2 linked regions of the Yarrowia lipolytica genome follow. The main gene of each other region encodes a partner of the protein of the gene in region 2 in a complex. Links are inferred from orthologs where the notes say so. Each region holds a gene or a part of one and is shown on either strand. Other genes may lie near its edges.

What was found.
Region 1: the proteins of YALI1_B03719g (region 2) and YALI1_E18242g are in contact, whole or in part, in an NMR structure (PDB 2JU0), measured with the Saccharomyces cerevisiae proteins. The link is inferred for Yarrowia lipolytica from reciprocal best matches to the Saccharomyces cerevisiae genes PIK1 and FRQ1. Residues at the interface, in NP_014132.1 of Saccharomyces cerevisiae: Ser122, Tyr123, Gly124, Phe125, Val127, Ala128, Val131, Asn134, Leu135, Gln136, Asn138, Asn141, Thr142, Ser143, Lys151, Glu154, Asn155, Val156, Ala157, Pro158, Ala159, Leu160, Val161, Ser163, Ser164, Met165, Met167, Ser168, Ile170; in NP_010661.3 of Saccharomyces cerevisiae: Trp30, Gly33, Phe34, Arg36, Asp37, Ile51, Tyr52, Phe55, Phe56, Phe64, Phe72, Phe85, Leu89, Thr92, Ser93, Arg94, Lys100, Leu107, Tyr108, Met132, Ser134, Met135, Glu142, Arg148, Lys151, Leu155, Asp176.

What each region holds. Positions count from the first base shown.
Region 1 is NC_090774.1:1,822,296-1,825,523, reverse strand, and holds YALI1_E18242g (uncharacterized protein), read right to left. Parts: upstream 1,257-3,228; coding exon 684-1,256; downstream 1-683. Other genes in the region: YALI1_E18258g (uncharacterized protein), read left to right, coding at 1-532; YALI1_E18212g (uncharacterized protein), read right to left, coding at 2,537-3,228.
Region 2 is NC_090771.1:368,348-373,556, forward strand, and holds YALI1_B03719g (uncharacterized protein), read right to left. Parts: upstream 3,570-5,209; coding exon 687-3,569; downstream 1-686. Other genes in the region: YALI1_B03761g (uncharacterized protein), read right to left, coding at 5,159-5,209. UniProt on the Saccharomyces cerevisiae protein: Acts on phosphatidylinositol (PI) in the first committed step in the production of the second messenger inositol 1,4,5,-trisphosphate. PIK1 is part of a nuclear phosphoinositide cycle and could control cytokinesis through the actin cytoskeleton.

The sequences.
Region 1 (3,228 bases), on a different chromosome or scaffold from region 2:
CGACTCTGGGGCTCTTTACGCAATTGAGTCCGCCATCGATATGGGCGCTATTCAGAAACTGAGTCACCGACTGGAACAAAAGCATGGAGCTGCCAAGGCTTCCCTCATAATGTCGTCTTCGTCAAGCCATATTGAAGAGCTGATTTCTAACGCCGACGAAAAGAATCCTGTCACCGTCGTGTACGCCCCCTCATGCCTCCGAGCTACAAACAAGGAGAAACGTGGCCGCCTAGCAGCCTCCAAGAAGAAGCAGGCTATTGGTATTGCCAGATTTGGCTCTGAGGATGAGTGCAACGAGAAGACAAATAACTGCTCAGGCCATGGTGCTTGCTCCAAGGGCCGTGGCGAGTCTGCCTACACATGCAAGTGCAAGACTGGCCGAGGAGGAAAGTTGTGCCAGAAGCAGGACGTGAGCGTCCAGTTCCAGCTTTTCTTCTGGACTGCAGTTGTCGCTCTGATTACCATTACTCTCGGTATCAAGCTCATGATGAGCGTTGGTAGCGAGCCTCTGCCTGGCGTTTTGGGTAAATAGAGCATACTGTAGCTAACTATCCGTGTGTGACCTACAAAGAGATAACAGTATTAAAAGGAACCATGCTTCCTATAACATTTAATAAGCTGAATGAAACAAAATATGAAGGTATATTGGATACATAGGTTGTGGACGACAATCAAGGACCTCGTTAGACAAGTCCGTCATATAAATTAAGAGCACTGACGATGGTGGGATCAACCTTGGATCCCTCTCGGAATTCTTCCAGAGTCAGCTCACCATTTCGATCCTTGTCCATTTGACGGAAAATCTTGTCCACTCGCTTCTCGGGTGTACTTTCATCCTCAGGTAGTTTGACCATTGAGCCAACCATCTTGTAGATGGCCGTGACAATGGCAAGCATTTCATCGTAGCTGATCTTACCATCGCCGTTGATGTCGTACAACTGGAAGGCCCATTCTAGCTTCTCCTCAAGGGTTCCACGCGAGGTTACACTGATCGCACAGATGAATTCCTTGTAATCCACCGTTCCGCTCTTGTCTTTGTCAAAAACGTTGAAGACGTATTCACTGAACATGGAAGGGTCGCCGAATGGGAAGAATTGTCGATAGATCTTTTGGAACTCTTCCTTGTTCAGCTGGCCAGACGGGCAATCCTTGAGAAAGCCCTTGTACCATTGCTGCAGTTCCTTTCGGTCGAAGTAGGTTGCTTTCTTGAGCTCAGTGAGCTCGTCCTTAGACAGTTTCGATGCTGCTTTTCCCATGGTGAAACCGTGTCTTTTATAGCAATGCGATTATGCTAGTTTTGTCGAATTTGCCCTTAATTTGTGTCGTCAACGGATCCTGGTTGTGGCGGTCAACGTGTGGTTAGCAGCTGTAAAGTCTGGGTTGTGAGTGTCGGGTGTCTTGCGCAGCTGCTCACGCACCCTTCTGGTGATCAAAGTTGTATCTGCTTAGAACCCCCCCGGACTGGCATGGTTTAACACTGCAGATGTGTGCACACTGTAGGCTTATAAGTGGTGAAACCACGAAGGGATACCGCATCTTTGCGCAATTATATTAGATCACAGAAAACAAAACCCGACTTGGTAGAGGCAACCGCCAGCTTCAGCATCACCGCCATCTTTCTATCATACCACTAATGATGTTGAGGTGACCAATTCAAGTGCCGTGTGGAGGCGCAGTTCCAACTTTAATCTGAACGGACGGATCATTATTGTTTTTCGAGATTCTACGACGGTTGAATATTTTGACGATCATCTAAGTTCCGAGCTTGGTGTTTGGTATTTTGGTATATTATTTCACAAACTTCTATTGACATTACAGTGTCGGAAAGCGCATCTTTTGTACTACCGATATCCAGTAGCTACAAGAACAGTACACTCGAATTTGTCTCATGGTTCTTGGCATACCTCATGCGCAGATACAAGTACCCTTGGCATCCTCAATGTTGACAACTTACACATATAATTTTTCAGTTGTCAGTAACTATGATACCGGTATCGGCATAGATTTGTACGCTAATAGATATCATTATTTTTTTAAATATGTATTGAAGGGATGTTGTGTGTGCTGTGAGGTCACGAAAATCGTAGAGTCATTAGAGTCATTAGAGTCATTAATATCATAAGGGTCATAGGACTTTATAAACAGTGTCGTAATAGCAAGGTCGTGATGATCGTGGGGATCATGGATAAAGCGGGTCATAAAGTCATAAAGTCATCAGAAGGGTCATAAAGGTCATAAAGGTCATAAAGGTCATAAAGGTTATAGATGTCATAAAGGTCGTAAGGGTCATAAGGTCGGAAAAGTCGTAAGTCGTAAAGGTCGTAAAGGTCGTAAAGGTCGTGAGCGTCGTAAAGGTCATAAAGGTCATAAGCGTCATAAGGTCGGAAAAGTCGTAAGTCGTAAAGGTCGTAAAGGTCGTAAAGGTCGTGAAAGTCGTGAAAGTCGTGAAAGTCGTGAAAGTCGTGAAAGTCGTGAAAGTCGTGAAAGTCGTGAAAGTCGTAAAAGTCATCATGATTCGTGATGGTCGTGAGAATTACTATGAGGTATTCTCAAGCCCCAGGAGTTTGTCGATAAACCACTCTCGAAGTCCGTCTCTAACAATAGGTAACCGGGAAGGATCTCTTACGTCAAAAACATGCGATCCAATACCCACGTAGCGAGTGGATGGGATGGCGGGTAGTATCTCTCGGATGACGCGGCTGTAATCATCAGGGTGGTGGCCATCTTCGAATCCAGGTATGGCAACAGCTCCCCCACCAACTAGGGAACATGCTCGCGGAGGGGGTCCACAGTTTAGGAGATCAAGATACTTGACATTAAGGTACTTTAAGAGATCCTGTAACGTTTCGCCATTTCCATAGTTCGAGTAGGATCGATTGTAACTGTGGTCAGTGTCGAGGAGGGGATATGAAATACCAAGACCTTCCAAGTGAGGTGAGAGGTTGGCAACGATGTAACTGAGGCACACGTATGGGATCATAAGTGTGCCTCTGTCATCCTCCTTGCACTCAAGGTGTAAATGCCGAAGCTGCGAGTTGCTCAGAGCGCCAGCCATCTCACCGCAGTACATGGGCCAGAATTGCCTATGATGAGTCACCGAAGAGTTCCAGTGGATTATCAAATCGAGAGAGAGAGCGTTGACATGAGCTAGAAATGTAGCCACGCCAGAAATGCAGCCATCATTGCGCGTTCCGCCAGACTCTTCTTGAATGCGAAATGCATTGCTGA
Region 2 (5,209 bases):
CATACTATAGGTACAACAGATCCCACCAAAGATATCTCCGGGCTCTCAGCAAAAACGGGTTGTGGAAAGGAAAAAAACAATTAGCGGCACCTGGTTTCGATCCAGGGACATCAAGGTTATGAGCCCTGCGCGCTTCCGCTGCGCCATGCCGCTCGAAGATAGATAGAGTAGAGAGTGAGTTCTGGCTAGTAATGATGAAAAAAGTGATTTTCGAGTTTTTTGAAAACGGCCTGAAACCTGAAGATAACAAGTGAAACAAGAGACAACAGTATATACTCTTAATCCTGTGCTTTCAACTTACATCTCAAGAAAACATTTCTTTCATAATCCATTGCTAATCGAGACAGTGGTGTGCTCGTGCGATGCCCACAATGATTCCTTGACATGAAAGAGGTACCGTACACCGAATGGTTATTCAACCTTTGAGGGATAAGTGGCTGCAGTTTCCTCCCTAATCTTACTTCTCAAACGTGAGAAAAGTGACCCTACAACACTCAACGGCAGCATCCATATACACTACGCCCATCTACGTTAGGCGACAACTACATACTTACTAGTAGAAGACCTCAAAAGGAAACGATTGCGACTCTCTTACTCTTCAAACTACAATCTTCTTGTACACACAGTGTTGATATGTTCATATATTCTTCCATTAGATCTATAACCATGTGCGACATCCCGTCGGCTTAACTGTAAATACCCTGAGTGTACAACTGGAAGTGGTCGTAGATTCTGGTGTAAATGTTGCCGACCGACTTTTGGATCAGGGACGTGTCCACGAAATGGTCCAAGTCCGAATCCGACAATTGTAGCTGGAATCGCTGTCGCAGGTACTGTGTGGTGGCCGGGCCCAGTTGGAAACAGGGCAGAGCAGAATCCTGTAACATCATGTCGACCAGCAAGATGATCGACTCGGCCTGCTTTCGCAGGTTCTTGAACGCGTCCTTCATCAGCTGTCGGTACAGCTCAAAATGGGGCGAGGTCATACCCCCCATGAGCTCCACGTACTCGTAGGTGAGCTTGAATGGGGCAGCTTCAAGACCGACTCCTCCAGGACTGTTGGACAACATGAATCCGAAATCGATATGCATAATATGACCGTCCGTATCAAGCAAAATGTTACCATTGTGTCTGTCCTTGATCTGGAGAATGTAACAGATGATGGAGTAAGCGGCAAGCGAACGAACAAAGGCGTTCAAAGAGTTCTGGTACCGGTCGGAGTCCTCGTCGCCAAACGTCTGCTTCCAGTACTCAGTCAGAGTAGGCACGTACTTGGTTGTGGTCTGAGTGGCAGCTGTAGTCTGGACAACATTGCTTGTCTCGAGCGCCTTTTTGATAGAATGGATCGACAGACCATTGTTGATGGTCTCAATGAGTCCAGAGGTGTCAGACGTGATCAGAATCTTCATCTCCTTGACCCACACGCCTGTCTCAGCGTCGTCCCAGATTCGTTTCATAGCTTGGATTAGCTGGCAGGCAAATGCCTCTTGCCGAAGATCGTTTCCGGTCTTGGCAATGACCGAAGCCAGCTGCCAGTTGGGCAAGTGCCCATACGGCGACTTTGACCTGATTCGTGCCTTTTTCGATTCCCAGTCTTCTCCGAGCTTGGCATGCGAGGGGTCCGACGACTTCATCATACCACCAGTTTTCAGATCGTTTTCCAACTTTCGCTCACCCGCAGCGCCCTTGGAGAGCGACAAGTCACGGTCGTCCAGAGTCGTCTCTTCCATAACCTGCATGTTATCGATGATTCGGGCCTTGATCGATGCGATTTCGTCCTTGGAAAGCTTAGATCCTGTGGAGGAGTCCAGCTGTGTCAGCATGATGGCAGCTGTACGCATCTGGGTGGCCACAGACGCCACGTCGGGCAGCTCCAAGTGATTGACGGGGTCCTCAGGCGCCTTCTCGAACTTGTACGAAGACGCAAACGACAAATCTGATGTTCGAGGAGAAGATTGATACGGACTGTTGGCCACATCATGCAGTTTGGGAGAGGGCATGCTCTCTTGGAGATGGGACAGGGTGTTGAGCACGGATTGTTTCACGCGCTCGGCCTGAGTCTCCTCGTCCATGGAGATAACAGAAATGTCTCCAATGTCAGCATCTTCAGCTGGCAGCTCGTCGTCTTCAGCAATGCCAAGCTCCTCCAATTCAGCAATGGTTGAACCAACCAGAGAGTTGGCGATCGACGTGGCCGATCGGTTGCTCTTGATACTGGCAGCATCCTCGTCGTGGTATCGTCCAAGAGAAGGGGTTCGAGCATGAGACGATTTTTTGTGGTTCACAGTGAGATCGAAAATGTACTTCTTCTTGTCTGCATGCTCCAGAACCTCCTTGTTCTTTGCACACTCGGGGTCGAACGTCATGTCGTCTTCCAGGTACTCAATCAGAATGAGGAAAGGCACTCGCTCAGCCGAATTCAGTACAGCTGACTCGGCGGGAGGCACTCGCACGATTCTGTGGTGTGTGGGGTTCTTTCTCATTGTGTCCGAGGGAACCAAAAGGGGAATGTCGACCTCAGCAGGAAGCTCCTGGTTCAGAAGAGTGAGCTCGGCCTTCAGAGCAGCATGACGGGCTTGCTTAGGCACCTGAAGAAGTCGAGCGGAGATTTGTTGCAGGGCTGACATGAACTGTGTCTCACATCGGAAGTAGTTTGATCGCAGAATCTTTCGTTGGTCGTCCTTGGCTCGCTCCTCGATGTCGTCCGGAGAGGTGTCACGTGGCTCCTCGGATTCGAAGCCGGGTGCATCGTCAAACTCCAGACTCACCGGCGTTCGAGTGCCGTCCCACTCGTTTGAAGGGCGTAGATCGGGGGCCGAATGGTATGCGTTTTGGAGATCGGGAGCCGAAAAGGACGAGTTTTTGTAGGGCGTTGCTTTGGGGGCGTCTCTGAAATGCTCATGCTGGTGCTTCTCCCGTTTGGACGGCAGTGCGACACCAGATTGGCTGATGGTCCGCCATTTTCGCTGTAGAAGGGCGTCTCTGTCAGCCTCCACGGTCGATCTAGAACGGGTCAGTTTGGGTGCAATCTGGAACACGTACGACCTCTGTTTTCGGCCCTGTGAAAGCGCAATGGGTCCCACAGCTGCGGCCATCTGCGGCATGCCAATGGCTCCCATGATTGCCGAGGCCAGAACCATGGCAGGCATGGGGTTCTCTCTGATTCGCGAGTTGGGCGGCTCGCCAATGTTGAACAGAATGTACTGCAGCTTGTTGTAGACTCGTCGCGACACCTGGAAGCCGAAAGATTCGGGATCATCTCCCAGATCGGTCAGATGTGCCTGCAGTTGCCAGAACGTCAGCAAGGCACAGTGCGCAGACACGTTGGAGAGATCCAGAATGATGTCTTCGAGGGCCATGGACTCGGTTTCCACCGTGATGAGAAGCTGGACCAGCTGGGGCAGGATGAACTCGATTTCGTCTCGCGGAAACGACAGCAGCTTCTGACACAGATAGAAGTGAATACCAATGTCGCCCGCGTATCGCTCGAGATAGGACAAGCACCGGAAGAGCGTGAACTGGTCGGACTCCACGAACCGCCTTAGCGACGAGTTTCGTTGGTATTGCATGATGATCTAACGTGTGTGCGTGTGTACGTGTGTGTGTGTGTGTGGTGTGTGATGAGCTGTCTGGCGTATGGCAGGTTGGTGTTGCGTGAAGAGGGTGGTGTGTTGTGTAGTCCTGATCACGACAGAGATGTAATGTCGCAGTTGTTTGTCGGTGGTCGCGTCGAACTCTCCTTGTCGTGGCAACTCAGGTCTACCGTCGCACCTCCAGTGTCGAACCTCGGATGTGTGCTGTGTGGTACCTTGTCGAGATAAACTCGGCCAAACCTTACACGGAGTGAATAAGGTGTAGACATGGCAACTTCTTGACGTGTACAAGATGGAGAAGGACAGAGACGAACGAACGAGGAATATAAAGAATATAAATATGGTGGGAAGCGCGGGGGGGTCAAAGTATTTATATTATTCGCCCGTGTTTGTGTTTCATTACACAAAACTAAATCAACGCGCCCAATTCCTCGGCCCATGGCAATGCCAAACATGTACTATGATACTGGGTACACTGCTCTCACATTATGCTACACCCCTACCTCCAACCTTTGGCCTCCACCTCCCAAATAATTACACTTGCAACTGTACCTGAGAATAGGTGTCGTGTGAGCTGGCCTCAAGAGGGTAACACTGACGAGCGTAACGTTGGTCATGTGACTTTGGCGAGGCGTCGAGGAGGTTGGAATGCTGGTGTTCATTTTTTTCCTACTCCGTCTTTGTAATGACGAGATACACGCATATCATCATGTACCCATAAGTAGTGTGAAGACTGGGAATCTCTAAACAAGTGATGAGATGACGGGGGAAATGTATTAGTAACAGACCAATTGCGGGGATTCAATTGGTTTAGAGGTAGTTGAATATTAGTAAGCAAAACAGGGACTAATGAGTGTTATTACCTGCTGGCTAATTTTTCTGGTTGCACCTGTTTGTCCTGATTCGGAAACTCCACTGAACTTTTCAAGGCGTTTCAGATATCGGTCTGCCACTTTTGAGCTTTTTACACTTACTTAGCTTTTCGGTGCTAGGACGCGGGGATAGTGGTGCGGGGTGAGGAAAATTAGTCCCATGTGGCCAGAAGTTGGTCTGGGGGAATCAGATCCGTCTCTTGGTGTTCATTGTCGGGCCGAACAACACTAGCATTGCTGTGAGCGAGACTAGACGAATGTTTGGTTTCTCAACGATAGCCTGGATTAATCTTAACTAATTACTTTACATTTGGTATGATATCATTGAGCTTCTCATGTATATGCAGAAAAAAAATCTCAGCTATCAAAAGAAATTTAAATCCTTTCGTTTGTCTTTTTGAAAGTAGTTCCAGTTCATTTGACTTGAGGTGCCTATGTATGATATATTGAAGATAGTACCGTACATACTCTCATGCTGTTCTTACTCTCTCCCTCAATCTGCCATCGACTGAAGATCTTCTCTCAGCCACGCGACGGACAAGGTCACAAACCGACTTTTTCACATTGATTCATTACGAAATACCCACCTTTTTCAACTCCCCATGTCTATACATTCACCATATCTCTGTCCAATTGACATTTATTACTAAATTACTCTCATTGAATCTCAAAATGAACGTGACAAGCTCCTGCTTAAGGGAAACTGCCCTTAGGAGGACCAATAATTTGACCATCCGGAATTTC